Linked DNA regions of Tamandua tetradactyla. The protein of the gene in region 2 interacts with the protein of the main gene of each other region in a pairwise test. Links are inferred from orthologs where the notes say so. Each region holds a gene or a part of one and is shown on either strand. Other genes may lie near its edges. The genes, in order: RNF183, GOPC, VTN and CERCAM.

What was found.
Region 1: the proteins of GOPC (region 2) and RNF183 interact in binary tests that used the Homo sapiens proteins (3 or more experiments, as listed by UniProt). The two-hybrid records come from large-scale screens. The link is inferred for Tamandua tetradactyla from reciprocal best matches to the Homo sapiens genes GOPC and RNF183.
Region 3: the proteins of GOPC (region 2) and VTN interact in binary tests that used the Homo sapiens proteins (3 or more experiments, as listed by UniProt). The two-hybrid records come from large-scale screens. The link is inferred for Tamandua tetradactyla from reciprocal best matches to the Homo sapiens genes GOPC and VTN.
Region 4: the proteins of GOPC (region 2) and CERCAM interact in a two-hybrid assay, tested with the Homo sapiens proteins (2 studies listed by BioGRID and IntAct). The two-hybrid records come from large-scale screens. The link is inferred for Tamandua tetradactyla from reciprocal best matches to the Homo sapiens genes GOPC and CERCAM.

The regions. Positions count from the first base shown.
Region 1 is NC_135328.1:33,859,652-33,867,330, reverse strand, and holds the start of RNF183 (E3 ubiquitin-protein ligase RNF183), read right to left. Parts: upstream 3,012-7,679; 5' UTR 1,183-3,011; intron 473-1,182; 5' UTR 446-472; coding exon 1-445. UniProt on the Homo sapiens protein: Acts as an E3 ubiquitin ligase catalyzing the covalent attachment of ubiquitin moieties onto substrate proteins. Triggers apoptosis in response to prolonged ER stress by mediating the polyubiquitination and subsequent proteasomal degradation of BCL2L1.
Region 2 is NC_135331.1:178,461,179-178,468,949, forward strand, and holds the start of GOPC (Golgi-associated PDZ and coiled-coil motif-containing protein), read right to left. Parts: upstream 3,003-7,771; 5' UTR 2,987-3,002; coding exon 2,471-2,986; intron 1-2,470.
Region 3 is NC_135332.1:51,636,136-51,643,112, reverse strand, and holds VTN (vitronectin), read left to right. Parts: upstream 1-3,965; 5' UTR 3,966-4,044; coding exon 4,045-4,108; intron 4,109-4,213; coding exon 4,214-4,333; intron 4,334-4,417; coding exon 4,418-4,756; intron 4,757-4,839; coding exon 4,840-4,979; intron 4,980-5,227; coding exon 5,228-5,384; intron 5,385-5,566; coding exon 5,567-5,719; intron 5,720-6,192; coding exon 6,193-6,534; intron 6,535-6,768; coding exon 6,769-6,881; 3' UTR 6,882-6,971; downstream 6,972-6,977. Other genes in the region: NAD(+) hydrolase SARM1, read right to left, coding at 1,888-2,357. UniProt on the Homo sapiens protein: Vitronectin is a cell adhesion and spreading factor found in serum and tissues. Vitronectin interact with glycosaminoglycans and proteoglycans. Is recognized by certain members of the integrin family and serves as a cell-to-substrate adhesion molecule.
Region 4 is NC_135328.1:51,214,431-51,221,724, reverse strand, and holds the start of CERCAM (inactive glycosyltransferase 25 family member 3), read right to left. Parts: upstream 3,002-7,294; 5' UTR 2,961-3,001; coding exon 2,764-2,960; intron 1,606-2,763; exon of another isoform or gene 1,426-1,605; intron 1,332-1,425; coding exon 1,221-1,331; intron 1,063-1,220; coding exon 945-1,062; intron 384-944; coding exon 249-383; intron 86-248; coding exon 1-85. UniProt on the Homo sapiens protein: Probable cell adhesion protein involved in leukocyte transmigration across the blood-brain barrier. Does not express any beta-galactosyltransferase activity in vitro.

The DNA.
Region 1 (7,679 bases), on a different chromosome or scaffold from region 2:
AGTGGCTGGGGATGGAGACAGGCACAGGTGCCGAGGCAGCGGCCGTGTCCGGCAAGGGGCCAGCTTGGTTCCCAGGCTCGGGGCCTAGGTCCAGTGTGTAGACCCTGGGCTGGCGCAGGAAGTAGCGGCTCTTGGGCTGGTCCTTGAGGCAGAGCTGACGGCCTTCCAGGATGACGTGGTGGGGCTCCAGGCGGAGCAAGGTTAGCATGGCCGTGTCCGTGGGCAGGTCGGTGACAGGCTGCCCCGAGGCCAGCACGGTGGGCTGCCGACAGAGCGGGCACAGCAGCCGGCGCCGGGCGGGGGCCACCAGGCTGAGGTGGGCCAGGCATTCCACGCAGAAGGAGTGGCAGCAGTCCAGCACTTTGGGGGTGTGGAATGTGTTATTGAAGGGGTTCCAGCAGACAGGGCACTCCGCCTCAGGCTCCCGGCCATGCTGTTCGGCCATCGTCAGACCCAACACCAAGGGACCTCGCTGGCACAAAGCGAAAAGGAGCAAAGAAACACCATTAAGCATTGTCCCATAGGCCAAGCATTCTGTGGGTATTAGAAGGTGTTATCGCCCACAATTTACAGACAAGAAAATTTCCGTTCAAAATTATGAAGTGCTTATTTTCCAGATCGCTCCATTCTTAAACCGCGGAGTTGTCTGGTGTTCCCTGCAGCCGCCTCCCCTTAAGAAGGCCTGCACACACACCCCCACCTAAATCACCTTCACTGGGGAAAATTGCACCCTAGGCTTTGAAGAAGCCCTGTGACCTTGGGCATGTTCTCTGCCCTCGGCTGCTCTGAATCCGCGGAGAGGGTGGGCAAGACACAGCCAGAGCCTTTGCTAAAGGCCATCCGTTTCCTTCCCTGCTATCTCAAGTCCCTGACTCGTGCAGAGGTGGACTTTGTGATTTCCCTGTCTGTCTCTCCTCTGGGAACATACGCCAGGCCCTCTTTCCCTTCTCCTCTTGGACTAGAGGGCCAACCCTGCAGAGCCGACTCTCCCAGTCCAGGTGTGGGGACATGGCCCTGGCCTGGCAAGGGGGCTGATGGTAACGATCTCCCCGTTGACCTGGAAGCCGTGGGGAGGGTGTCCTGCCCAGGTCTCCAGATCAGCCCCTCCACAGCCTCTTTGCAGTGCTCCGCCTCCCCTGCCGCCTCCCTCCCCTTGTCCTGGGAAATCCTCAGGGTACCCACCTGGGCACGAGAGCAAGCAGGCAGACTGCCCTGAAGGGCCAGGGGTTCCAGTTTCTCCCTCTCCAGGATCCGCAAAGCTTTGGGAGACTACCTTCTCGCCGCCAAGCCCCAGGGCCCGTCTCTATGGCAGCACACGCAGCACCTGGAGCTGCCTGCCAGGTGGCCCGGCCTCAGCCTCTTGAGTGCACCTAACTGGAGCAAAGGCCAGAGAGCTGCCTGGGTGGTGAGGTAGGGAGTTCCCCTGGGGGGTGGCAACCAATGAACCTGGAAGCCAAGGATCTACAAGATTGTGGGCGGCCCCTTCCAGACCTGGAATCCCCGGCAGGGAAGGTTAGGGGTAAGCTCCTTTTACTAAACCATAGAGAGGGTAAGTGAGCCTTCTGGACTTCCCCATTCCCCTGTGTCCTGGGTCCCTCATTTCTTTTCTAAAATAGCCGGACACTCCTCCTCCCTCTCCAACTCAAAGAGGCTGCCGGCCCTGCACTTTAATTGCTGTGAAATTCACCTACCTCACAGCCTGGAAGCTCTGAATACCAGATTCAGCCACAACCGGAATGGGCAAGCCTTACTGCCTTCTGTTTTCTTCTTAGGACACAGCCAGCCAGCCTGGCAGGTGCTGACACGCTGAGACCTGAGAGTTCCCATGTTGGCGGCCATCCCACCCAATCTTGAGGGGTGAAAGGGAGTAGTCAGGCAGGGGGAGCACCCCAGCCCAGCTCCCCCATATCAACCACAGACAACTGGCTTTTATCTGTTTCTGATATTGGACATCTGAATAATTTGAAATGTTAAGCTGCTGGGGGTAAAAAGAACAAAAGTTTAAAAACCACTTCTCCAGTACTCACCACTCACTTTGCAGATGGGAGACAAGAAGTGACTCACCCAAGGTCACCCAGCTAGTTAATGGTGACACTGGGACCAATGTCTTCAGAGCCCCAGTCCACCACCACTGGGCGGCTCTCATAAAGGCAGAACTCAGCAACATCCATTCAGTCCGCCTGCTGGACGTGTGTTGTTAGCAAGATAGTGTGCATTTGCTTTTATCTGGAGATTCCTCAGGGCATAAGTCCCTCGGGGTAGGAATCCAGGAGCTGTGCCAGGGAAGATTCTGCATCAGTGAATCTCCCTTGTGCCCCTGATGTGACATCATTGCCCTGCCCAAGTCAACACCTGAAGCAAAATCTGCTTATACTTCCTCATCCATTTCTTCTAGTTCTTTCCAACACCTCTGTCACTGCTCCATATAGGAGAGAAGGAGATGAAGATATTCAAGGGGATTGGAACAGCCCTGCCCACAGCTGTTTGCCAGGGTCCTTACAATGCCTGATCTGTGCACTGTTCACCCACTTGTGAGACAGTTATTGGAGGCTCACTACATCCCAAGCACTGTGCTAAGCTCTGGCCAGCTAAATAATGGAGGACACAAGGTTCATGGCCTTTGACTTCATGGCATTTTGTCTAGTGAGGGAAAGAGACATTCTTTCCTCTGAATGAACAGATAAATAATTGAGTAATTTTGATGAATACTATAAAGGGGAAGAAAAGAGGGCTTGGAAAGTGTCGGCTGCCTTCGATGAGACCACTGGAGAAAGTTTCTTCAAAGAAGTGATATGACGCAGAGACTAAAGGATGAGAGGAATCCAGCCAAGCAGAGTGGAGGGAAAAGCATTCCAGACCAAGGGAACAGCATGTGCCAGTGAATTAAGGTGAGAATGAACTCTGCTAATTTGAGGAAGTGAGAAACAGCCAGTGTAAGGGAGGTGGTACAGTGGGTGAAGATGGGGTGGGAGAGAGGCTCAAGAGTAGCCAAGAAGAACACAGGAACTGTAAGCTCTGAACACATTTGGGTGTGGAGAAAAACTTTTAAGTGGGGGGGGGGGGGGGCCTGATGCTGTTTGCATTTTTAAAACAGCATTCCAGTTGCAGAACAGAGGACAGACTGAAAGGGGCAAGAGTGGGAATGAAAGACCAGTTTGGGGCTTAGCAGTCACCCAGGCATGGGTTGGGGATGCTTGGCCCCGGTCAGGTGGCAGCAGAGAAGATAAAACAGGAGGGGGTAAGAGATATCTTTGGAGGTGAAGTCAAAAATACCTCCCAAGAGGCAGTGGGCAGTGTAGACTCTGGAACTAGACTGTCCAGGTTCATGGCAGCAGGTACACTGCCTATTAGGGCTCCATTTGAATCCTTAACCTCTCTGTGCCTCGATTTCCTCATCTGAAAAGGAAGCTAAATGTAGTGGGGTGGGGGATAAAGCTCTTAGAGCCTAGCACCTATAAAGACCATATATGAAAAAAATTGGTATTACTACTGCAAATGGATTTGAGGGAAAGGCCATGAAAAAGTTTTATGCATCAAGCTTTGAGGAGTCCTTGAATTCCAGAGTATGTCTGAAGCATACCTTCAATATTTAGCAAAATGTTTAACATGTCCATAACCTTTGACCCAGAAACTTCCGCACTGGAAACCTGTCCATCCCACGAAAATAATCAAAGACCCTTCAAAGATGTGGTTAAAGATATCCACTCAGCACTGTTCAAATGGTAAAGTATGGAGAAATACCTAATTATCCAGTGGTTTATTGATTAAGTTCTGTTCCATCCATACAAAGAGATACTCTGCAGCTTTTAAAGCGATGTGATAAAATATCTATCAATATGGAAATATGTTTATGATTTGTCTTTAAATGAAAAAAAGAATAGACAATAAAACCATATTACAGACAGTCGCTAAGAGATGAAATTAAGAGAAGCTGAAAGAGAGAAACACCCAGAGTAGTTTAGAGAAAAAGCTACAGACGGAGAAGCAGAAGCAATAAAATCTGGCAGAGAAGGACCAGCAGACATCACCCTGTGCCTTGTTATCTGACACAGAGCCCAGGCTCTCTGGTCACCAGTCTTCAGAGAAGCTCAGTGTATGCAGGGAGTTTTACAACTCAGAGTGGAGGAAAAAAATGAATTTTAGAAAATTCTTAGAATTTCAGGTTCTCAAATCATTGGATGTGAAAACCAAATTTTACACTGTAGAAATTGATGAAATATTTCTTGAAGCCCAGATTCAGAACATTACAACCTCACCCCTGTTTATGGAGAAGGTTTCATTGTTAATATACAATGAAATATACAAATTATTATTAATAATAATATAATGTACAGCATAGCAGAGCTAAATTCCGTCAACCAGACTGGAAAATGTGCATCTACGTTTGGGTCACAAACCCATTTGCAGCCAATGAATACGTACCAGTACTTGTACTGCCAGAAGGAGTTTGCAGAAAAGGCAAACATCCTTAAGAGAGCAACCGTAATTGGAAAATTGGATATAATGTGGAAAACAAATCTAGAGGAAAATGGAAGGTTATAGATCAGCCAACTTCAAAGAAGGCAGTGAAAGGACTATGGATTTTGTTCTGGAAATGTGCAATACAAATTCCATCCACTGGTGTGGCATTTCAGGAAGACAGCTTGGAAAGCTTCATCCAAGTTCCTCTCTCTGCCTTGCCTTTACTCTACTGTCTTCAATACAAGAATTGCGAAGTGTTTCCGGCCTATGACTGATAACACATTCTTAAAGAGAACAGATGGACTTGATGACATTTCACAAGTCTGTGTGGTATCTTCAGCCATTAAAGTGAAAAGCTGAAGAAAATTTCCAATGTTATGTCTTCCATTTAGTTTCTTCGAGCTGCTTTCTATATTTTTGTCAGCTTTGTAAAATGATCAGTTTAATGGCAAAGATAAGTATGTATTATTTAAATGTCTTTTCTCTAAAACTGACTTCTTTAAAATATTAAATATTTGTTTTACAGAGGATCCTCTGCTGATTTTATCTTATGAGTTATAGTCTAAATGACATTTGTGTATTTCCTGTACATATTTTCTCATTTCATTCCATTTTAGATGACCATTGAACTTTTTTTAATTTTTTAATTTTTTTTAAACATAGCAACATACAAACACGAACATTCTTACCATATGATCAATCCATTCTTGATAAATAATCAATAACTCACAATATCATCACATAGTTGTATATTCGTCACCATGATCATTTCTTAGAACATTCGCATCAATTCAGAAAAAGAAAAAAGAAAAAAACTCATACATACCATACTCCTTACCCCTCCCTCTCACTGACTGCTACTATTTCCATCTACCCAATATATTTTAGCCTTTGTTTACCCTATTTTTTAAATTCCCTTTATCACCGCCTTTCATTGATCACTAGCATTTCAATCTACTAAATTTATTTTAACATTTGCTCCCCCTATTATTTATTCAATTTTAATCCATATGTTTTACTTATCTGTCCATACTGTAGATAAAAGGAGCATCAGACACAAGGTTGATGACGATTGAACTTTGTTCTCCAAAAGCTCTGCACTTAAGGCCATTTTTATCTAGCAAGTGTCTAGAACAGAAGTCAGCAAACTTTTTCCATAAAAGCCTAGATAACAAATAATTTAGGCTTTGTGGCCCATAGCAAATGTCAAAACTATTCAACTCAGCCATTGTAGTATGAAAACAGGCATAGACAATTGTCAATAAAGAAACTGGCTGTGTTTAAAAAAACAGGCCAGCTGGTTTTTGGTTTGCTGAAATCAATCTAGAAGATAGTTGTTTCTTAGAAATTTAGAATTTTCATAATAATTTCACTTTATTTGGAAATATCTCAGTTGTTCCCAGGTTTTCCTTAGCTCCTCAGTCAACAGAAAAAAATTGAGATAGTACTCCTGTAAATTGATTTTTGCTAACACAGTGCCCGATGAGCTTTTCTAATCATTTTCAAAATGACTGTGAAAATCATTGTATTTTGACAGCCATGATATGTAAGTGTGCTTACATACATTAAAGTTAGAAACAAAGAAATGTCTAACTTTAAGTTTCAGAACTGGTTTTGTTTCTTAGGTTGTTTATTACTCAGTTAATTTTTAATTAAATAGACTAATAATTTTCTAATTCTAAGCCAAAAGGTCCTGTTGATTTTTTTTTTTTTTTGGTTTTTGGTTTGCTATTGAAAAATAAGCCACTCCTTTTCATAAGGCACATTTAAAGGATTCTCAGCTTCTGGTATTTGATCTTGAACTCTAAATCATATACTAACATTATAGTAAAACTATCTCTGTGTGTTATCAAATTTGTTTACTTACATCATGAACAAAACAGTGAGGAAGCTAAGGCTGTAAACAGCTTTGGAACATGAATATAATTAGATGTTTGAATATTTGTCAGGAAAATAAAAGCTTATGCTATCAAATAGAAGCTATCCTACTTTGGTAAGCTGAAATTCAAGAATGTATACATAGTTTCTTAAATAAAAAAGTACATTAAATCAAATACCAAACTGGCTTTACTTAAATGGCCAATTATTTATTGCCATGACAAACTGGTCTAAGATGAAAGTTCTGTCCAGAATTGGATTAATAACTAATGAAATGTCTGTGTAAATTGCTAATCGATAATAAATTGATAATAAATATTTTTAAAATAATATTACAATCCAATCTAATTTTCAAGAATATGTGTATAGTGGGAAAAATGCCAATAATGGTTATCTCTGGGGGGTACGACCACAAGATTAAAAAAAAAACTATCTTATCTGAAAATTCTCTTACTCCAGTGAGCTTGTATTACTTAAAGACCCTTCCAGCCTCTCAAAGCAGACATACTTTCTCTGTGCCTCCTGTTCTTCCAGCCCCAAGAGGAGCAAAGGGATGTGAGGAAACTGCAAGGAGTAGGGGGACTCCTGTCTAATTAGGGAGCTCTGGGGAAGTTACTTGGCCTCCCTGAAGCCCAAGTTTTCCTCTTTGCCAGGGATAAAGTGGCTGGTTCTGCCAATGCTTAGCACTGTGGTGAGATTCTGGAGGGGAGAGAAGCGGGTCATCCGCAAAGAGCCGTTCAAGAGAAGGGGTGATCCCAACCGCTCCAGCACCCGGGCCCTCCCGGCCGCGGTCCACTCCAGCACCCCCCGTTGTTTTCGGTTCAGGTGCCAGGCACAGTCCAGGCTCTCCAGGGGAGGCTCCTGACACAAATCTACCCGACCCCGACCCCAAGCCAGGACACCCTCAGCTACAGTAAATCCTGAACCCCACACCAAAGTCACTGCCTCAGTCTGTGGCCAAGTCAGTCAGCCAAGTATTAATTATCTAATTATCCATAGTGTCACCCCAGCATGTTCAACCTCAAGACAAAAGAAAATGAAGGATTTGCATTTATATAGCACTTCACAGTTTACAAAAGGGCCCCAGTGCTGGTTTAGGTTTAAGTAGAGATACACCTAGATAGTATAAGTGCCTTTTACAACTTTCTCCCCACTTGCGTAAGGCCATTTGATTCTTTAAAACCACCCTGTGAGGGCAGCAGGGTGGGAGTAGAAAGTGTGCAATCTTTGGAACCAGACTTAATTGCTGTGGGAGCTTGGACAAAGGGCTTAACCTCTGCGCTTTATTTTTATATATTTATTTATTTATTTATTTTTTATTAATTAAAGGAAAAAAGAAA
Region 2 (7,771 bases):
ATGGCACCACCTCAAAATATCCTAAATTCTCTGCCTTCTCCTACCCTTTTCCCCAAGCATAACTTACGGCAAGAAGCAGAGGCAAGGATGTCATTTTTATATAACTTTGAATCGTAACTTTTTTTTTTGGCAGTAAAACTGTTTAAATATTTATATTAAGCTCAGTTTTTACAGAGACACAATGACAGGGCAGTAGAAGGGGCAATCTGGAAGGATACTCAAGACCAATTTAAATATATTATAAATCACCCACACTGACTGTATCTGTGTTTTGATTATATAAAAATATTATATTGCAGTAATATGGTTTAAGGAATTAATTTATAAAATTACTGAACTCTGGCACACATTTATTTTATCAAACCATAAGTGGCCTCAAATACTGTCTTAATGTCCTCATACTTAAATCAACAGAACTAAATTCAATTGTCTACTAGAAATAAAATAGGGCAAGAAGCTATGGGAATCTTTTCTAAGTATCAAGACCTCAGAAGATTGATAACACTATATGCAGCAACCCCTGAAATTCTGCAGATGGTTACAGCAGCAGATCTACTTTGAAAGGCACTGTGACCATGAAACTCTCTCCTCAGAAATACCTGGATTGTACTATGAAAGGGGAAAATTGCTAAATTTGGAAAGATCAACACAACAGACAGGTAAGTCAACTGTAACCAGAAAATAAACCAAAAAAAAAGAACAAATCAAGTTAAATCTCTTCTCTTCCTATTTTCTAAGACCTATACCCCAAGGGTTTCAAGCACGTTGAAAAAACAGGCTCATCTGTGATATGCTAACATTTCTTTTTTTTGAGAAATAATACTACCCACTTAGCCAGGACAAGGAGTCAGCATATGCAATTATAAATTCTGAAAGAAAAAAAGAGCATGCATTAACGTATTACAGCTTTGAATACTCATTTAAAATGTTTAAAGATAAAAAAAATTAAGCACCACCTCCTACTGACAGAATGAGCCCTTCTCCAAAATTAACTTTAAATCTGGCATCAAAATATCACTGTTAAAAGTTTCCTTAAATCGTTTTTAAAAATTAGACATTGTTTAATTTTTTTATAAGCTGTTTATCTTCAGTAGATCCTTGTAAAAATAATATGAAAAGTTCTAATACAGCAAAAGCTACTCTTGCTATGTTATTTAAGGCTGAAGTACTAGTTCTAAAAACCCTCAAACAGAATTTCACTACTTGAAAAACTATCTTCTAGAAATCACTACTAATCAAAAAATCAAGACATTTCATTTACCTAGAATAAGAAGTGATTACTTTCACATGCATTCCAATCTTCCCAAAAAAGGATGCAAGAAATTAACAGTCATTCAGCAAAGAGCCAGAAAATCATGAATATGCAAATCAACACTAAGCAAAGGTTAATTATGCCAGTTTTAAAAATGACTGAGAGAAAGAGAATGCTGACCACTAAGCAAAGAGAAGATGTATATATGATATTCATATTGCTTTGGATCTAATGGGCACTCTCAACTATTACAACTGATAGCAATGATGATTTCTTGGAAAGCTAATGTTTAAAAAGTTTTGCACATCACTGATTATCCCATTATTATGTAATTAAAAATGAAAGACCAATTCTCTCATTTAAATTGCTTAATTAGAAAATGCTCTTTATATAAAGTCAACCTGTCATGATTTCTAATTATTGTAATAATGCCTGAAAATTTTCTGCATCTGGTAGGCTTTTTTTTTTTGTAACCACCACCGTTCCACCCATATTCACTCTCTAGTTTAGAGAGTTCACCGAATGATCATTGTTCACTCACTCTCAAAAACAAATGCAGACTTTGGGAAATACAGTAAAATTCAAACGTATAAACCTCACTGTTAGAAGTCATCTGAATGACCGCTGGGAGCTCAGGAGATATCTGCCTGCAATTTAAGGACCAACTGTGGATGTAAACCGAGAAAGGCAATGATACCATCGTATTTATGCCACTAAACTTTCCTAAGAGCTTTGATCAAATTCTCCCTAAATAGTCCATGCATGCAGGAACTAGTATGTCCGTGTGCGACCATTGATGCTGATCTGGAATAGTTAAAATAAAAGTAATTAGGGCTCTATTTGGGTGGTGGATATATAAACCTGGGCTCATCAATGGGAAAATAGAGAAGCAAACCTCAAATGTCAAAAGCTGTTCTAACAGTCTTTGGGCTTAAGTCTTAGGTTGTTAATATAAAACGTACAAGGGTGGCTGGTGTAATTAGTTCCCGTTTCCTGCTCATTAAGGTACAAGATAAGATAGGTGACCGACACGTAGGTTTACACCCCTCATTTTCCCCTACCTTACCGCCCTCCTTTCCTCCACACACCGACACATCGAAGCCCAGTTGTCCCAGTGGGCAGTTTTCTGGGGTCCTTTCACTGGTGCGTCTAAATGAGATCTGACGCCACCGGGGCAGCCTGGGGTGAAGGCCGCCCCCGCCAGCGCCCGCAGCTCACCTCCAGCTTGTGGTTGATTTGGGACACAGTCTGGGCTTTGTGGCAGAGCTGCGCAAAGCAAGAGCTCAGGCTGGTCATCTTCTGTCGCCCCTCATAAGTGATGTCCGCCTGGTCCGGATCGATCTCGCCCAGGAGCAGATCCACATCGACGAAGGCCTTGTCGAACTCCTTCTCCAACACCTCGAGCCATCGGAACATGGATACCCCGCCGGGGGAGACCCCCACGGCGCAGGAGGCGCCCCCCGGGCCCCCACCGGCACCCGCCGGGCACGGGCCGCCCGTCGACATGGCGCCGTCGAGGGCCTCCCCCGCCTGCTGCTGACTCCTGCGCGAGGAGAACTGCTGGGACTGCGGAGACCCCCGCGCACGCACGCTCTGTGGGGTCACTCCTTCCCCTCGCGGGGCCAAAGCCGGCAATGCAGCCGCCGAGGGGCAAGACCTAGGAGGCTGAGGCGGCGACCGTGGCACACGGAAGACACGACCCGTCCCACCTCCCTGCCCGCCGCCGCTGCGCATGCGTAGCCAAGAGCCCGGCGGCCGGGAAGGACGAGGTGGGCGGGGCTAGGAGGCGACGTTGGCCTATGAAAGGCCTCTGCCCGGCCTGTCAGCGGCCATCTTGAGGACTGGCAAACTCCAGCTTGGGTCCGCGAGTAGTAGGCGCGCGGTGTGTGCTTCCAAGCTGGAAAGGCCCGAGGAAGAGAAGCGTATCCACGTCGTAGGAAGGAACGGCCCCACCGGTTTGATTTCACAGTGGACAAAAGCCGTTCTAAAATCGTCCGGGAAAGTGGCGTCCGGGGGCGGGAAAAGGAGAGCGAGGAATGGCGGTGTGAGCATGCGCAATGGCCACGTTTCCCCTTTTCCTCTCCAGTTCCTGCTTAGGTTTGGTGGGTGGGGTGGACGGACACATTGGCGCGTTTTGGTTAAATAGGCCCTAAATACTGTGTGGGCACTGCCTAATGCCGGGTTGGCGGAGAGTGGCTGAGTAGGTGTTGCTGAATAAAGAGACCTTTGTATCTCCTGTGTAAGAGACAGGCAGGCCTGAGTTCAAATGTTACACCCTGCCACATCCTAGTTGCACCACCGTGGTTGTATTTTTTAACCTCAAAGTCTCTGTTTCCAAAATTTATTTCACTCAGTAGTAAGGTAAAACGCTTAGCACCAGTGCTTGACGCATGGCGTTAGCTTTTATTTTTACACCACAGGTCACACATTTCTAAAGCAACTATTTTAAAAAGTGTACGTTGTTGAAGGAATCACGTTTTATCATTTAAAAAACTGGTAATATTCTTGCACAGAGCATTTCAGTAAAACGAAGCAATTGACGTGCATGACCATAAGGAATGGCTTTTTTCCACTTACCGTTTTAACTCAACCTGGTGATTTCTTTTTGAAACCATATTTTGGGTTACAAAATGTGTGATTTGTGTTATATATATAAAATATATATATATGAAAATCAATCGCAGTACTTTTACTGTCATATATTAAATTGAATGGGAACAAAGCAATCAAAGGCATTAGAGTACTATATTTAGTGTTACTTCTTGTTCTTAAGGAATATTCATATATTCATAAATATATTGAATGCCAAACCCTGTGGAGGCATTGGGAACACATATGACCCTCACTCGAGCAGAGGTCATAGACTTGTGAGGCTACTAATCTTCACAGTTACAACTTTAATATGATTTTTGCAGTACTTTTGCAACTGTTTAGCAACTGCTTTCTCATCCCCTTTCATTTCAAGAGTCGCCCTGCCCTGGACAGAGAAAGAGAAACCAGTCTGATTTGAACAGACTTGTAGGAACTGTCTCTACTGCATTATGTAGGAGAATATTTTTCTGGCTAACTACAGACTTGTCCCTGATCTGTTGACGGGACAGATAGTTCCAATCAATCATCATGCAAAACCCACACTGTGTGACTCGCACCAAAACCAAGACGGAGCAAAAAAAAATCACAGCTGTAGTTTGCTCTCTGGGTATACTACAGGCCAGGCTGATAAGTATCTAGCTACATCATTGCCTTATCTTGACCTACTCTGGAATTGTATATAAGCTCAATACTTGTGGGATTTATTTTCCAGATATAATGAAGTCGTCATACTACTAATTAGATTGGCAGAAACCTCCATGAACTGTCTCATGAATCATGCTTATGTGATTTTTTTGAAATTGTGAAATTCTAATATAACTTAAATGTGCAGACTTGTTTTAAGGAACTTATAACTACAGAGTTTTGCCACAAAGTATTACTAGGAATAAACAAAGTGGGAACTGAGGAAACTGGGGGAAGAGAGTCCTGTGGCTCTAGCAAACTTAGCTAAGCAGAACTAACCTGGAAATCCTTGCCCTGAGCTTAAATGCACAACTTCATACAGGTTTTCATAGGCAATGAATAATATAAAACTAAAATTTGCATCTTACTCCCAAAATTATTTTCCATTATTTCAGTATTTTCATCTGCAGTACTCACAAAGACATCACTACAACATGTCCTGGCCAACTTCTCTACAGATAATGTAGTTAGCAATGGATTTTCAGGAATTTGAAGTAAATAATTTCAAAATGGACAAAGGGCATATACATGGAGTCACAATACTAATGATAGTAGCTATCAGTTATTGAGTTCTCATTATGTGGTAGGCATTTGTACTATTTGTTTACATGTTTGATCATTTTGTCACTTTTCTAGCTGAGTTACAGTGAGTCTAAGACAAACAGTAATTGAACTGAGATCTCAGTCTAGGTGCCTTTTTCTCCAGAGCCTTTGCCATCAACTGTGGGGAATAGGGGGATTAAGAAAATCCATTTCTTTGTCCCCAGAATAACAAAATGACAAATCAGTCCAAAAGGAAAATAATCTCTTCCCAATTATAAGCCAATTACAAATCTATTAACATCTAAGAAGAAATTACAAAAATACTGCCAACATTACTTATGGACCTACACAAAATACATTTCATTTCTTTTAAGAATAAATCATTCAACTTTTTGCTGTACTATGTGAGTATGGCCAGACAGCATCAAAAGTGTACATGTGTCCAGTGCCCTAATTGTTGGTGATTACCCCTTTTTCAGGATTTCAGAACCTGGTCCTATTTCATTTACAATGTTTAAAGTTCCAATAAGTCACACCCCTGTCCCTCAGGATATTTTCATTCCTTATTGTCCTTTCTCATTACCACGTCTACGTGTTTGCCGTCTTGGTAGTATGTGACTACTTGTTATCTGCCCTTTATGTAAACTTGTTATCTGCCCACATTGGGATTTTATAATTCTGCATATTGCAGCCAAACTATAACGTGAAAAAGTAGGTTTTAACGTTCAAGTGCTGCCATCTGTTGTCAGTGTGCTCTAGCTGCATCATTGCCTTATCTTGACCTACTCTGGAATCGTATATAAGCTCAATACTTGTGGGATTTATTTTCCAAATATAATGAAGTCATCATACTACTAATTAGATTGGCAGAAACCTCCACGAACTGTCTCATGTATAATGCTTATGTGATTTTTTTGAAATTATGAAATTCTAATATAACTTAAATGTACAGACTTGTTTTAAGGAACTTATAACTCCAGAGTTTTGCCACAAAGTATTACTAGGAATAAACAGGGTGGGAACTAAGGAAACTGGGGGAAGAAAGAAAATGTTAAAAATTCATTTGGTAGATACAGGTCATTAGCTGTGGTTCAAACATTTATAGAGTACCATGAAATGCAAAGGCACAGGAATGAATAAAGAAACATATAAGATCCACCCAGGAGTGGAGACGGAGGGAAACTGCCATTTATTGAACTCTAATGTGTCCAGACCCTGTACTAAGCTTCACACATTTCATTTAATTTCCAGTAACCAGGAGAAAGGAAAATTAATCCAAGAGTCAAGAATTAATATTCAATGATGGCCTATCATATAGGAAAATTTTTATGAGGCAATTTACATTCATTATCTCCTTAACAACACTTTGGGAAATGTAGCATTATTTACATTTTACAAATGGGGCAACTAGTCCTCGGAGAAGTTATAGTTGCAGGTAAGCAGCCAAGTCCACATCAGGCTGGTTATATAGCTAACATAGCCACTTCCTGGGAGTGTGAATTTAAGGATATTGCCTAACTTCTAGCATCTGTTTCCTTATCTATAAAACAAGGAATGTAATGGTATGTCTCTTACAGGGTTGATGTGAGGATTAAATGATTTAAGGAATACAAAGCACCACCCTACCGAGGACCTGGCAAATAGCAAGTGAAAGAATCGTAAATACATATATTACATAACCAATTTTATGTGGTCTTTACGTGTCTAAACATCCCAAGTCTGAGCCTCTCTCCTTTGTGGGAGTATCTTTTAAGGTCTCTGTTCTAGTTTGCTAGCTGCCAGAATGCAATATACCAGAAACGGAGTGGCTTTTAAAAGGGGAATTTATTAAGTTGCAAGTTTACAGTTCTAAGGCCATGAAGATGTCCCAATTAAGCAAGTCTATAAAATGTCCAAATTAGGACATCAGGGAAAGATACCTTGTTTCAAGAAGGCAGGTGACGTTAGGGTTTCTCTCTCACCTGGAAGGGCACATGGTGACATCTGCTAACTTTCTCTCCAGGTTTCTTGTTTCATGAAGCTCCCCCAGGGCTATATTACTTCTTCATCTCCAAAGTTCTCTGGCTGCCTGGGCTCTGTGGTTCTCATGGCTCTCTCCAAAATGTTTCCTCTTTTAAAGGATTCCAGTAAACTATTGAAAACCCACCTGGAATAAATGGAGTCACATCTCCCTCTAATCAAAGGCTAATACCCACAATTGGGCGCGTCACATGTCCATGGAGATAATCTCATCAAATTTCCAGTCTACAGTGCTGAATAGGGATTGAAAGAAACAGCTGCCTCCTCAAAATGATCAGGATTAAAAAATGGCTTTTCTAGGGCACAGAATCCTTTCAAACCAGCACAGTCTCCATTTTTCCTTTTCTGGGCCTCTGTGTGTCTCTGCAGTTCTTTCTGTGTCCCCCTGTTTATCTCTGCCCTCTTTTCTCCCATTGGCTCTCTTCCTGATATAACCGACTAAAAAGACATGAAATATATATGTATCTGTTGCAATTATCAAATAATGTTATATGTTCTTTGTTATTAGTTATAAAATGATGAAAATGAAATGTACTATCTTTTACCCATATTATTTCCTTGATTTTTCCCTGTATTATCCCCTTGATTTTATTTTCTCCTGTTTTTAAGGGATTCCTGATAAATAATGTTTCTGTACTCCTGTGATGGACAGTACATAATAAAGAGGAAAAGGTAAATATG
Region 3 (6,977 bases), on a different chromosome or scaffold from region 2:
TACCAAAGTCTGAAATCTGTTCTTTTCTGTAACTACTTCTTACAATGTACTTTGAAATTTAGTGCTTTTTTTTGTAAATATGTTATATTTCACAATAAAATAACGTTTAAAAAAGGGGGACAGAGAGCAATGATGGAAAGATCTTCTTTAAGAGGTGGCAGAGACAGTGGTTGTGGAGTAGGGAAAAGGTTTCATAAACATAAATTCTCAGCGTTTTGCTCCCTTCTCTCCCTTCTGGCTCCCCTGCCCTGTCAGATGCAGACTCTGCCTTTCTTTGAAAGGATTTCAATCAGCGCCCAATGAACTATGCTCTGTCCTTGGTCCTGAAGTGACTCCTCTTAGTAATACTGAACCAGGTGAGAACTGTTATTTCCTACTTTGAAAATATCAGTGCTGTTTGCATTTTGCAGCCTTCCTCTTCCTAGGGTGCTAACCTCCCCAATTTTCCAGCCTATTGTAGCTGCCCCACCCCACATAACAAATCTATTAGACATGCCCTCCAGCCTGGACCCCACCACGCTCAGTGAACACTCATTCCATTTGCTAACCCTCCAAATTCATGTTCCATCTCCATCAGGCACCTGATGTTAGTTGGGAGGTTAATTATTTGCTGAATAATTTGCAGAATCCTAACTTGGCCTCCCAACCAAAATTGCTTTATGTATTTTTTTAAAAAATATTACATGTTTTATTATTCTGTCTCCAGAAGGATAATAAACAAAAGGGGGGGGGAATAAAAGGAGTAAAATCGTCAACTATCAGGCAATGAGGCCAGCAACACCCTCCATCTCAGAAGGGTCTCAGAGACCCATGCCCAACAGAAACCAACAAAGAGAAAACTCAGTAAGGGGGAGGGGAAGGAAAGAAAAAAAGCTATGTCTTCATTACTGCAGCAAGAGAGATGACAACAATACCATTCAAATATTTTTCACAGTTGTATCATTTCCACCAATTATAAGGATATTTTTCTTTTTGGAAAGTTGCAAGGAATGTTCCCCTACCCCAAACTCATCTCACTTGTGGGAGCTGCATAAACTGAAAGTGAGCCTTCCAAAATCCTCTGTTCTAAGGGAGCAGAATTTGGTGTGAGACTGAAGTGTGAGAGTCTTCCCTGGCAGAGGGGAGGGAAAGTGAGTCCTCAGGGGTCCTCCTACTTCAGGGGAGATCCCAAGAGGCAGGCACTTAGGGTATTTTGGCACTAAGGGGTGGGAGGAGAACACATACTCTGGCCCCTGCCTAGCTCTGGGCTTCAGATTCTTCTCCCCCAACCTATTCAACTCAGCAGAAAATCTTCTGTTCCCCATCAGCCGCTGCAGAATGAGGTCATGTCTGGACCAGAATGAAGAAAGAGGAAGCAAGAGGTAGATTGTGAGCGGGTAAGTAACCCTTAAGTTAGCACTCATTTCAGCCTAGGGAGAGGACAGAGGGGAGAGTCCTCCCCCGCCCCCCCAAATTGTTTTCCCTTCCCCTCCTGTGTGTGGGGCAGAGGGGAGAGTGATGGGCAAAGGGAGAGAAGTTACCACAGAAGGGCACCCAGGCCCATGGTGAGGAGGGCCAGGTATTTAGGGGGGCATTGGCAATAGGATCCCATCCTGATTCAAAGGACCAATTCCACTCCTCCTTTCCCTGGCCACATTCTCCACCTCTTTAGTCTTGGGTGTGAATCCTGGCTGCACCATTAGCTCACTGAGCGATGCTGGGTAAATCACTAAACTTTTTCCAGCCTCAGTTTCCTCATTTGTAAAATGGACACGCTAATCCTAACGTGCAAGGCTGAAGTAAGGTGAGTCAGGCTGGGTACAGTGCGGAGCATAGGGAAATCCAGCCGTCCAACCGCCCTCACAGCCCCACACAACGTGGGGCTCTACCCGAGCCTGGCACCCTTACCGGTTCTCGGCCACCAGGATCTGCTCCAGCAAGCGCGCGGCCTGCACGCGCGTCTCGAGTTCCGACGCCTGCAGCAGCCTCAGCAGCAGGTCGAGGCCCCCGTCCAGGCGGATGGCGTCGCACAGACCCTGGGCCACCTCGCGGCCTACGGCCGGCAGGAGCCAGGCCTCCTCCACTAACTGGAAAACCTCAGCCAGGCCAGCACCTATGGCCCGCGCGCCGCTGGCCTGCTTCAGCGCCGACAGCGCCTGCTGCAGCTCCGGCAGCGCGCGCTCCAGGGCGCCCTGCACTTCGGCGCCCACCCCGGGTGACACCTCGCGGGGCCCTCGGGAGCCGGCGGCCCACCATGGGCCCGCGCCGCCACCCCCTTCCGGCCCCGGCACAGCCAGCCGCTCGGCACCGGGCCGTGGACCAGACATGGTGAAAAAGCGGCACAGCTTGTAAGCCGAGAGGAGAAGCGTCAGGACCATGGACGCCGGGCTGCGAGGGTCATCCCCGGCCTGGAGGGGAGGGGCCCGGCGGGGCTACCCAGGACCTGAGGGCAAGGGGGAAGAAAATACAGGAGAAAGGGGTGGAGAGAAGAGTACAAGGCAAGGGCGCTGGTCAGAAATTTTGGGGGGGGGGGGTGAGGTCAAGATCGAGGGCGGAGAGGGTGGGGAAGGGGATGCAGGCCCGGATGCAGGGGGCGGGCGCGAGGAAAGAGCAGAGTGGCCACAGAGGGACCCAGACGCCAGAGGATCGAGGAGGCTGTGGCCGGCAGGAACAAAGCACCGCTCCGGCTCTGGCTCCCCTCGCCGGAGAGACGCTCCGCAGCAGCCGGGTAGCCGAGAAGCCGCGGATCAGGAATCGACACCTCGCCTGTCTGTCTCGCTGGGCTCCTCCCTCGCCGCCCGTTTGGCACCGCCCCTTCTCTCCAGCCACGCCCACACCCTGGCCAGGCCTCCTCCCCCTAGCCGCGTCCCGGGCTCTCCTTGTGGATGCGGGTGGGGAGTGGGAGGAGAGGGTGGACAGGGAGAGGATTGCTTCCGTTTTACCGTCTGATGGCGCTGGAACGCGGGGCAACGCCACGGAATGCGTCTCCTTCCCACCTAGTGGCTAAAGCAATCATAACGACTCTGTACAGCTCTCCATGCCCTTTTATGCCTATTTCTCAATTAAGACTCACACATCCCTATAGAGTTTAGAATTCCCATTGTACAAGCTGAAGTGACTGAGGCGCCTAGAGAAGAGATTACCCAACGTCACACTGGTCACTGATTACAGAACAGAAAAAGTCAATTGGAAGCTCCAGGGATCACTCCCCTCCAGGTGGCAGGGGGACTTCAGTGGCCTACCCAGGATTGGGGAATTACTGGAAGTCTCAGGAATCAAATCCTGTCCAAAGGGTTAATATTCTACCAGTTTCCTGTGTTGTGAAAACTTGCTTGGGGAAATCAATGTATCCAAGAGAGAAACCCAGAAATGAAACATTGTTCTATCATGATAAAAATGTACAAAATTCCCCAGAGTGTTTACCATCTGTCCTCCCACTCCCCCTTCACCGCCCTAAATACACAAAGTAATCATTTATGTGAACCACCCAGCCAGGGTTGCATTTGATCAAACAAATCATGGATCAATAAGCATTTATGGAGAATGAATTTGGGGCTACTCCAGGCACTGGGCATTTTGCCTGCTCTAGCTCACGTCATCTCCCAACGCACCATGAGACATATTATTAATCCCATTTTACTGGAAAGAAAATTAAGGCTCAAAGGGGTAAAGCAATTTGCCTAAGGTCACCCAGGCAGTAAGGAGCAGAGTGTGCTGGCTATCTGCTCCTCAAGCCCCACTGTGCTGCCCCCCTCCTGAGATGTCCCTGAGTTTGGCAAGGATCTCATTTCCCAGGTTTTCCAGGACCAGGGTTCTGGGAATGTGACCCTTTGCAGCTGCAGCCTCCGGGGTCCGGGTACTGGGGGCTGGGCTGGAGGTTGAGCAAACAGAACAGCAGGAAGGGCAGCTCCGTTTCACTAGTCCCCTCCCTCTGTCCCTCCCTCCCAGTTTCCTCCCCTCCCTCCCAGTTTCCTCCCCTCTCTCTCTTTCTTAAGCCTCAGAGCTCACACCTCAGGGAAGGAGCTCAGAGCCCAGCTAGCCAGGTCCTCAGCTAGAGGTCCTGCCATGGCGCCCCCAGGACCCCTTCTGATGCTGGTCCTGCTGGCTCCGGTTGTTCTGGCCGACCAAGGTGCAGGGGGTATGGTGGTGGCACTGCTGGCCACCTGAAACAAGATGGGGTGGGCCGGGGGGGGGTCCAGGCTTAGTCATACTGGTTGGCATCCTCTCCCCACAGAGTCCTGCAAGGGCCGCTGCACTGAGGGCTTCAACGCTGAGAGGAAATGTCAGTGCGACGATCTCTGCTCGTACTACCAGAGCTGCTGTACCGACTACGACACTGAGTGCAAGCCTCAAGGTGTGTTTAGAACCATGGCGGGTGGGCCTGGGGTTCCCTCTGCAGCTGGAGGCTCATGACCCTCCACCCCCACCCCACCTGCAGTAACCCGTGGAGATGTATTCACTCTGCCTGAGGACGAGTACGGCAATTATGACTACACTGGAGAGACCAAAAACGCCAGCATCCAGGCACAGTCAGTGAACGCTTCTGGGAGCTCCTCCACAAGCCCTGATCTGCAGGCCCAGCCTGAAGGGAATTCTGAGCAGAGTCCCATTCAGAACCCAGAGGGAATGTCCCCTCAGCCTACACAGTGGGGGCCCCCAGTATCCACAGCCTCTCTTCAGGGGCTCTCTGGGCCCCTGGCAGATGACGAGCTGTGCAGTGGGAAGCCCTTTGATGCCTTCACCGACATCAAGAATGGTTCCATCTTTGCTTTCCGAGGTGACTATGGGGATGGGTCTCGCGGGTGGGGGTCTGTCCCAGGAGCATCCCCTCCCTCACACAGCCCCCCACCCCCACCCCAGGGCGGTACTTCTATGAGCTGGATGAAAATGGAGTGAGGCCTGGGGACCCCAAGCTCATTCAAGACGTCTGGGGCATAGAGGGCCCCATTGATGCCGCCTTCACCCGCATCAACTGTCAGGGGAAGACCTACCTCTTCCAGGTGCCAGTAATGGGGCTGTGGGCCAGGGTAGAGGGCTTCCAGGGAGGGGCTGAGAGTTGTTGTGACCAGGGTGAGATCTAGGGCCCTGTGGGTGCCTGGTTGGGGCTCCATGCGGACAGGGCAGTCAAGGGTCCAGGTCCTGGAAAACAAACCTGGAATTGGGCACAGCTGCCTCTGGGGCGGGGCAGGGAGATGGTGTCTGCCCGGCTGCTGCTTCCTCAACCCTCTTCCCCTTCCCCATCGTTTAGGGTAGTCAGTACTGGCGCTTTAACGATGGTGTCCTGGACCCCAACTATCCTCGCAACATCTCTGAAGGCTTCAAGGGCATCCCAGACAACGTGGATGCAGCCTTTGCCCTCCCTGCCCACAGCTACCATGGCCGGGAGCAGGTCTACTTCTTCAAGGGTACTTGGGGGCTGGGTGGGACAATGGCCAAGGAGGGGAGCTGCCTCGGTTTCCCTCTGCACTTTACCAGGGACAGGCCTCAGGCTGTGCCCACCCCCAAGGTTGGGAGTTTCTAACAGCGTCTGGGCTCTCCAGCCTGGCTTATGCTCACCCCTGCTGATGCCAGCTGCCCTGCTCCCCAGGGAAACAGTACTGGGAGTACCAGTTCCACGAGCAGCCCAGCCAGGTGGACTGTGAAGACAGCTCCCCATCGGTCGTGTTTGAGCACTTTGTCCTGCTGCAGCGGGACAGCTGGGAGAATATCTTCGAGCTTCTCTTCTGGAGCAGATCTTCTGGTACAGAGAGAGAACCAGTCATGCCTCCCCCTCCAGAGGGCTGGGGGCCCCTGGATGGGGGGAGGGCTGGCTGGCCCACGGGGGTTGTGATTGTGGAACTTTCGATCAAGAGCTGTTTGCTCAGCCCAGACTTTGCTTTTGTTGACCTTTTGGGGATGGCTTGGCTCAGCCTGGACCCCACACCTTGGACTTTGCCTAGCAAGGCACAGACAGCAGTGGGAGGGGCCTGTGGAGAGAGGATTGGGGAGGCCTCAGGGGGTGGGGTAGAGACACCCAGGGGTAATGCTGAGGGAGCACAGGGGAAAGAGCATTGAACAGGGAGTCAGAGATCCTGGGGCTGGGCTCTGCCACTGTCTTGCTGTGTGTCCTTGGGCAAGGCACATCTCTGGACACCACATGGCCTTTAAAGGCCCTGCTGGAGGGGGCAGAGCCCAGGTCCCCAGGGCCCCGTACTAGCCCCTTTCCTGCCACAGGTGGTACCAGACCGCCTCACCTCATCAGCCAAGACTGGCCCGGTGTGCCGAAACAGGTGGACGCAGCCATGGCTGGCCGCATGTACATCTCGGGCCTGCCCACCCTCTCCTCCTGGGCCCAGAAGCACAAGACTAGGCGCCGCAGCCGCAAGCGCTACCGTTCCCACCGGGGCCGCAGCCGCAGCCGCAGCCAGACCCCCAGCAGGCCATCCCGCTCCCTCTGGCTGTCCTGGTTCTCCAATGAGGAGAGCGGGCTGGGAGACAGTACTGACACCCCTGGGATGGACTGGCTTGTGCCTGCCTCCTGCGAACCCATCCAGAGCGTCTATTTCTTCTCAGAAGGTGGGATCCCCTACCACCCCTGCGGTGGGCTAGCCTGGGTCTTCCCTGCTGCCCTGGTCTCCATAGACTGAACACAGTTCACGGGCAATGGCCCCAGAAAGCCAGGCCAGAGGCCCTCACGGGCATCATGGATGTTTAACTCCCCTTCCAGGAGAGACCTGGGGCTTCTTTCTTGGGGCAGGACTGGGCAGGACCAGGTTGGGTCCCGCTCACCCTTCCTGCCCTCTCTTCCAGACAAGTACTACCGAGTGAACCTCCGCACACGGCAAGTGGACACTGTGGACCCTCCCTACCCACGCTCCATCGCCCAGTACTGGCTCAAGTGCCCAACCCCTGGTCTCAAGTAGGAGCTGGAGCCCACACAGCTGGGCCCTCCATAGCGCCCTCTTCCAACCCTCTCCCCCACCCCAATAAAGGTTCCTTGGTCGTGAGTTTAAGACTAT
Region 4 (7,294 bases), on a different chromosome or scaffold from region 2:
TGGAGTGGACCATGGGTACACGGAAACAGCCCCGGCGCTGGCGGTTCTTAGTGGGGAAGTACTCTGATGTGCGGCGGTAGTAGCCCTAGGGAAGGGAGATTGCTCTGGGATGTAATGGCCACTCCCTCCATCCACAGCACAGCGCCCCCCTGCTTTGGCCTACAGACCCTGAGACCTTCAGGCTCTCAGCTCTCCATGTCCCTCCTCCCAAGATTACAAACCTCCTGAGGCCTCATCCCTAGCCTCACCTGGGGGGTGATCCCGCACCAAAAGTTGGAGTAGTAGGTCTGGGAATCCAGCATTGGGGCCACCACAGGCAGCCCCTGCTCCACCAGAAGCCGCAGTGTCTGGTTGTTTGTCAGAATGTTGTCTGTGTCTGCAAACTGGGGGGTTGGATGGAGGAAAGGGGTGTCACAGCCTTCCGAGACAGACAGCCTAACCACAGACAGCCTCAGTCTAGGCTGCAGCCTCCCAAAGAATTGGATAGGATCCCAAATAGGATCCCTTCGGGTGGCAGAGACCCAGAGTGGCTCCCAGGATCCAATGTAAGTTCGTTTGGAGAGGTCTAACCAACAAACTTGGCACTGGTCCAGGGACTGGATCTAAACTGTTGATCTAAGAACATCACCTGAGATCTGTCTTAGTGAGTGGATCCAAAGACCTACTGTGCGCTCTAGCCAGAAATCCAGGCTCAGTTTATACTATGGACTCTGGCCTAAGAATCTAGGCTCAATAAATACTATGAGATCTATCTCAGGGATCCAGGCTTAGTACCCAGCCTGAGCTTAGGCTAGGGGATCCAAGCTAAATATCTGTTTTGAGCTCTGGCCCAGTATGCCAAATGAAGGATCTACTCTACAGGAGTGGTTCAGACATGTCCACATTTCTGTCCAGACAGATACTACCACCTGTGAGAAGCCCAATCCTAGGCCAGGCTTCCTTACCAGGATATAGTCAGCTCCCCAGTTCCTGGCAAAGGTCAGGGCTTCCTGCTTCAACTCCATCAGAAACTGGTGCCGTTCTTTGGTCCAGTGCTTGGGACCCTCTTCATCTGGAAAGAGCCTGAGGGGGATAAAAAAATAAATTCCCATTAAGGGGGTGCCTCTCCCTCTCTTCAGGGCAGTGGGCAGAGTCCTGAGCTGGAGGCTGTAGCCCTTTTCCTCTCTGGAATTGCAGCTGTTTGCCCAGGTTCCCCAGAACCTCTGCCCTCAGATCACCACCTGGGCTCCCCCTCAGGTCTCCAGACCACAGTTGCATAGTCATTTCCCACAGCTGCCAGCCACTCCTGCAGCATCTCTGTGGTGTTGTCGGCATTGTGGTCCGTGGCACACCTGGAGACAAAGGAGGAAGAAGGGTGAAGGGGCACAGTCACAGAGGGTCCAAACCCAGCCCCTGAGGCAGCATTGCCTCTGAGAGCACCAACACCTGTGAGGTTGGCCTCTCCTGGGAGCAGTGGGGTGGGGTGGAGAATGAGGATAGATGTGCTGCAGCGAAGGCCTGGAAGCAGGACAGCCAGGGCCCAATCACAGTTCTGTGACCTCAGGCAAATCCCATCCCTTCCCTCAGCTTCAGTTTCTTCCCCTGTAGTTTCTCATGCATCCTGGGCTGAAATAACAGAAGGCGAATGCATTATGAAAGAGGAAAGGCACCTCAACTTTCCCTGGTTACCTTCCTCCCTTGCTGTGTGACCACAGGTCAGCCTATGTCTCTGAGTCAGGACAGAAGAACTGCTGTTTTCTTTCACCGGCAAGTTGTAATAAAGAACAAACCACGCTCTGAGCATCCTGAAGAATTGCTGATGGGCCCAAGCTCCACTGCTACAGAGTATAGCTTCTCCTCTCCCAGGGAAGGGGCTGCCATGATGGAGGCAGGGGAGCAGGGTGACTTAGCCAAGAGCCCCAGTTTTATATGATACTGCCTCTTTAAACCAATTCCCCAGAAGTGAAGACTACTACGTGTCAAACTTATAGGGGTGGGAACTAACTAACTCCCAAACTGTGGTAATTGTGGGCAGCCTCCCCAGGCCACAGCTCCACCCCCCCAGCCCAACGTTGGTGTGTTGGGAGGGGGTAGTTTGTAATTTCTTTCACTTTATCTCCAACTTCAGCCCAGAACTCCTCCCTGTTCTGGCTTCCAGAGACTGGAGGGGTTGAGACTCTGCATCCAGTGTCCTATGGACACGCCTTGGAGGACAGACTCCAGGGAGAGGAAGCCCCTAGCAGCAGCGCTGCCCCTGGCAGACAGGGCCCAGACCCACTACCCTGAGAAGTTAACACCAGCTCAGCAGGAGGGAGGGCCCCTTGTAGGGCAGCACAGAGCCCAGGGCTGACAGCACCCCCATATGCTTCCTGAGAAGCCCCAGTCCTGTGGATCCCTGCCATGATGGTCCCCAGAGGACTCCAACAGTTCTGGTCTGCTCCAATCCAAGTCAAGCCAACCACAGGTCCCACGGGGGTTGCGTTTGGGCTCCTGGAGCTGATGCAAGAGGGCCTGGGCCCAACTTACACCTAAAGGAAAACCCAAGGGCAGGAGAAAACAGCTGGAATGAGAGTTGGGTGTCCCCAGGGTGGACTTATGACTTCATAGGTTTGTCCCTGCAAGGGTAAGGGGTCTTGTCTCAGGGCTTGGGCTGTAGGGGGGGGATCTGCCTGCCAAGGCAGGGGCCGGCTGGTGGTGTCTGGGCAAAGAGGGTCTAGGGCGGGGCCATCTGGGAGGCCGGAAGGGTAGCCGTCCTGTGGGTGCCAATGCCAGGGTCTCTCTCACCAGAGGGCCAGCCTGGCCCGGGGGTAGTCCAGCCGCTCCAGCGCGCCCAGGTAGTGAGGCAGTGAATGCTCGGCATTGCGAGCCAGGATGGCAAGAACTACGGCAGGCAACGGCGGCTCCCTGACGCCAGCAACCTCGAGCCCCGGCCCCAGCAGGAGCAGCAGCTGCAGCAGCTGGGCCGCAGGAACAGCGCGCATGGCGGGCGCTTAGGCGGCGGCTGCGGGCCCCCGGGGCTCTCGGCCCTGCGGAGGGGAGTGGGCGGGGCGACCCGGAGGGGCGGGGCCCGGGGCAGGGCGGGGCCCAGAGAGGCCGGAGGGGAACATAGACCCCAAGAGTGGTCTTTCATTTCCTCAAGCCCTATGCAAGTATTCTCGAGTTTCCTCCCCTCGGCCCTGGGCACCTGAGGACCAGGGCTCCGAGACCCGCCCCAAACACGACCCTGAAGCAGCCCCCTCCCCGAAGGACCCCGGAGGGGGAGAAAGGGAGGGGGACTGGATTGACTATCAGAGCCACACTTGCGCCTGAAAACACCTGACTCCTCAAATTCCCGAGCTTCTGACCCCGGAATCCAGCCTCACTGAGCGTCTGACCCCTCTGAACACGAATTTCCTAACCATCCGCCTTTCAGACGTTAGCAGCAGACCCACGCGTGGCAGATCCCACCCAGACGCGGCCTTTCCCGGGTTCCCCCGCTCCTGGCCTCTCCACTGCCCGGAGGAGCCCTCTAGCGGGCCCAGACGGGAACTTCTCAGATCCGAGAGGCGACTTGTGGACCAGAGAGAAAGACAGTGGGGGGGGGGGGGGCAGGGAGAGGGTGCCCCTTGACCTGGGCCCGCCATCCAAGGCGTCCAAGCCAAGCTTTCCCCACGCGTCACCGTCCTTACCTCGGTTGCCAGCACCTCTGTTCCTCTGGCCCTTTAAGAGAGCAAAGCCCACTGTTAGACTGAGTGTAGATCTAGGGACAACCACAGAGCCTCTCACTGCCACCCAGCTCCCCTCCTAACCAAGGGATACAGCCTTACCTGGAGCAGAGATGGGAAGGGGTCTCCAGCCTGTCTTGGACAAAAGCAGAAAAATGAGGGCCCCTAGAGGCACCAGAGTGGGTTCTAGACTGGAATCTGCTACCTATCTCAGACTGGTCACTTTCCCCGAGCCTCAGGACCCTCATCGGTAAAATCCTCTAATCCATCCACCTGGTAGGGTTTGCAAGGATTCCTTGAGAGAAAGAAATCACATGAAGTATCTCTCTGCATGAATCTGACACACAGGAAGAGCTCTTGGGATTGGACCACAAGGACTTGAGAAGAAGAGAGGCCCAGGGAGGTGTGGGGGACATCTCCCTGCCCCTCACCACCCACCTTCCCACCCTACCTGGAAGGTCTCCTTTCCTACGGGTAGGGTTAAAGAGGGGAGCTAGGCCTGGGCACACTATTTCCATTGGGAGGGGAAAAGGGGTGCCCAGGAAACAATGAACTTACCTAGTGATGGTGCAGCACAGTAGGGCATTGAACCACAGTGTCCTGACTCTGGGTGGGCTCCAAAGTGTTCACCAGGTCCTGAGTGAAAGCTTCCAGGTGAGGCATTTTCTGGCTAATGGCCCTGCAATGAAAAGGGCCCCAGGCCTATGGACGCATCCTGGGGAAATTCAAGAGTTACCTCTCTCTTGCATGGGTCACCTCTCTGGTGGGATAGCAAAGATACTCCCAGTCCCAGAACCAGGATTTCCTTTCTAAAGCTAAGCAGTGTCCCCCACGTCAACCACTGAAGTCAAGCCAGAGTTCCCTGTGTCTTTGAGCTTCTGCCTATCTTATCAGTAACGTAAGCTTCCAGATTCTTCCCTGGCCTCAAAGTCTTCCTTCTCCCAAAGCATCAGCTCCTCCCATTTTAATCTCCCTGCCTGCCCCCACCTAGCCCACTCAGTGGTTGAGCCTATCACTGACTCCCTTTCCTAGGGTTTTCTCACAGATGCCTGGAAAAACCCAATCCTGTAACCATTTTGCCTTGGGGCTGATTGGGGCTACTGCAACTCATGACCTCCACCCTCAACTGGATTCTCACCAAGCCCAACAGTTCTGTTTTCCTATGTTCTATATTCTCTGTTCCCTATCCCCTGTCCTCAATGGCATTTCAAATGCTACCAGTCTTCTGACACTCCACTCCACTTCCTCCCCACCCTTTGGTAGCAAGGGTTGTCCTGCTACTTCTTGGGAAATATGTAAGTCCTCACCTGGGGACTATCATTTCCAGCTTTCACACCTTCTACCTTCTGCCCCAAAACCAGCCTCTGCTCTTACTAACTGTGACAATGGAAAAGATACTTCTTCCTCATGATGAAACCATCCCTGGACTTAAAATACAATCCCCTTACCCCTCTTGTATAGTCAACCTCCCTCTCTTCTGATCCTTCTGCCTTCCAAAGGACTTAAATCTTCCCAAACCCCAAATGCACTCCTATCTCTCTCTTTCCCATCAAAGGCAAACTTCTTGAAGCGGGAGATCTGTGCTTTGCTCTGTCTCACTTCCTTACCTCCATTCACTGCTTAACAAACACCAAGGCTGTTCCAGCCAAACTGCTCCTGCCAAGACCAGCATCCACCCTGACACTCCCCCAATGGATATTTCTTCTTCCTCATCCAGAAGATCTTGGCTTCTCTGCAGCAGCTGACTGTGTGGGTCACTCCCTCTTTCTGGAAACCTGATCTTTCTGGAAATATCCCTTTCTGGAAACCTTACTGTATCTCAATTGCACACCTGGACCCCAATACCACTTGTCCAAGACAGAGCTCTCATCTTTTCCCCAAACCTAGGAAATGGTACCTCTGCCCTCAAGCTGGGGACTTATGTGTCACTGATGACAAGTTCCTTTTTCTTACCCCATATATCCACTCCATCAGTGCATCCCAACAAGGCCTCCTCCTCCACACCTCCAATACATGGCCACCTCTTTCCTTTCCTGCTGCCACTTGCCTCCTAGGCCTTCTTCCTGGAAACCATGTTGCACTCAGAAGTCTTTTCTATTAATGCCTGACTTAATCCTCTCTGGGAGCTGCCCATTGCCCTCAGCATAGAGCTCAAACCCCTCACAGGGCAGGGAGGCCCTGCGTGGCCTGCCTGTGCTTCTCCAACTCTCCACTCTTTTCCTCCCCGCAACCTTCTCCTCCAACTAAACTGGCCTATTTACTCTGCCACAATGCTCCATGCTTGTCCTTCATGTTTTGGAACCTTTGTGCATCTTTTTTTTTTTCTTTCTGATCCTTCTGCCTGGATTGTTTTTCACTTCTGGCCAACTCTGGCCAACTCCCCTAGGCCTTTCAGTCTCAGCTTAAACTTCCTCTGGAAAGTCTTCCCTAATGTCAAGTCTTGGGAACATATCCCTACATAGTATCCTATAGGATCCCATTCATTTGACAAATATGTGTTAAACACTTGCTATGTATGGAGGGACAGAAGACAGTGTCTCTGCTCCTAGGGTGCTTACATTCTAGTGAGAGGAGATGGATAGGAAACAAGCAAACACATAAAAGAACAAGATCATTTCAAAGAAAAGTAAATGCTATGACAAATTAAAACAAGTTACTAAGAACAGAGAGTAACTGGGAGTGGGAGACGACATTCAGACAGAGGGGTCAGAGAAGATCATTGGGAGCATAAGTAGGAACCAGCTGAGGGAAGATCTGGGGGAAGAGTGTTCCAGATGGAGGAGATGGGTGGGGTAAAGCTCCTGAGGTGGGAACAAGCAAGGAAGCTAGTGTTGCTGGAGATAACTGAGCAAGGGAAGTATGGTAAGAGGTGAGGTTCAATGGGTTGGCAGGGTCAGACACACAGGGCCTTGAAGTCATGGCAGAATTTTGAATTTTCTTTTTAAGTACACTAGGACATTGGAGGGAGTAGGCAGAGGCATGATATGATCTGACTTAAAAAGATTGCTCTGGCTGTAGTGCAGACGGTGGACCAAGGGTGCAAGGGTGGCAGTCGGAGACCCAAATACAGGGAGAGACGATGTGGACAGAGTTGAGATATATACTGAAAGCAGAGCCGATAGGCCTTGTGAGACTAGTTATAAGACATGGAGAGAGGAATCAAAGATGGCTCCTAGGTTTTGCAACTGGGTTGGATGGTGGTGTTATTAACTGAATGGGGACAAGGTGGAATATGAAAATTGGGTTCTGTTTTGGACATTATTTTAAGTTGCATTTTAGACTTCAAGATGGAGAGATGACATTATATCCCTGTCTGGTTGAGTCTCTGTCTCCCTAGCGAGACTCTGGGTTCCAAGGCAGGGACCTGTCTGCCTCTATATGCCTAGCCCCTGGGCAGTACAAGCCAAATACAGAGTCAATATAAATATTGACCAGCCAGACATCGATATAAATATGATGGAACCATTAAGGTGGGCCAATCAAGCTTCTGCACTCCTGCTTACACTCATTTTTTTCTATCAAAAAATGAACATATGCTACAAAAGTAATACTGGGCCAAATCCACAGAAATGCTAAAGCAGTAATTCTCAAAGTGTGGTCCCTGGTCCAGG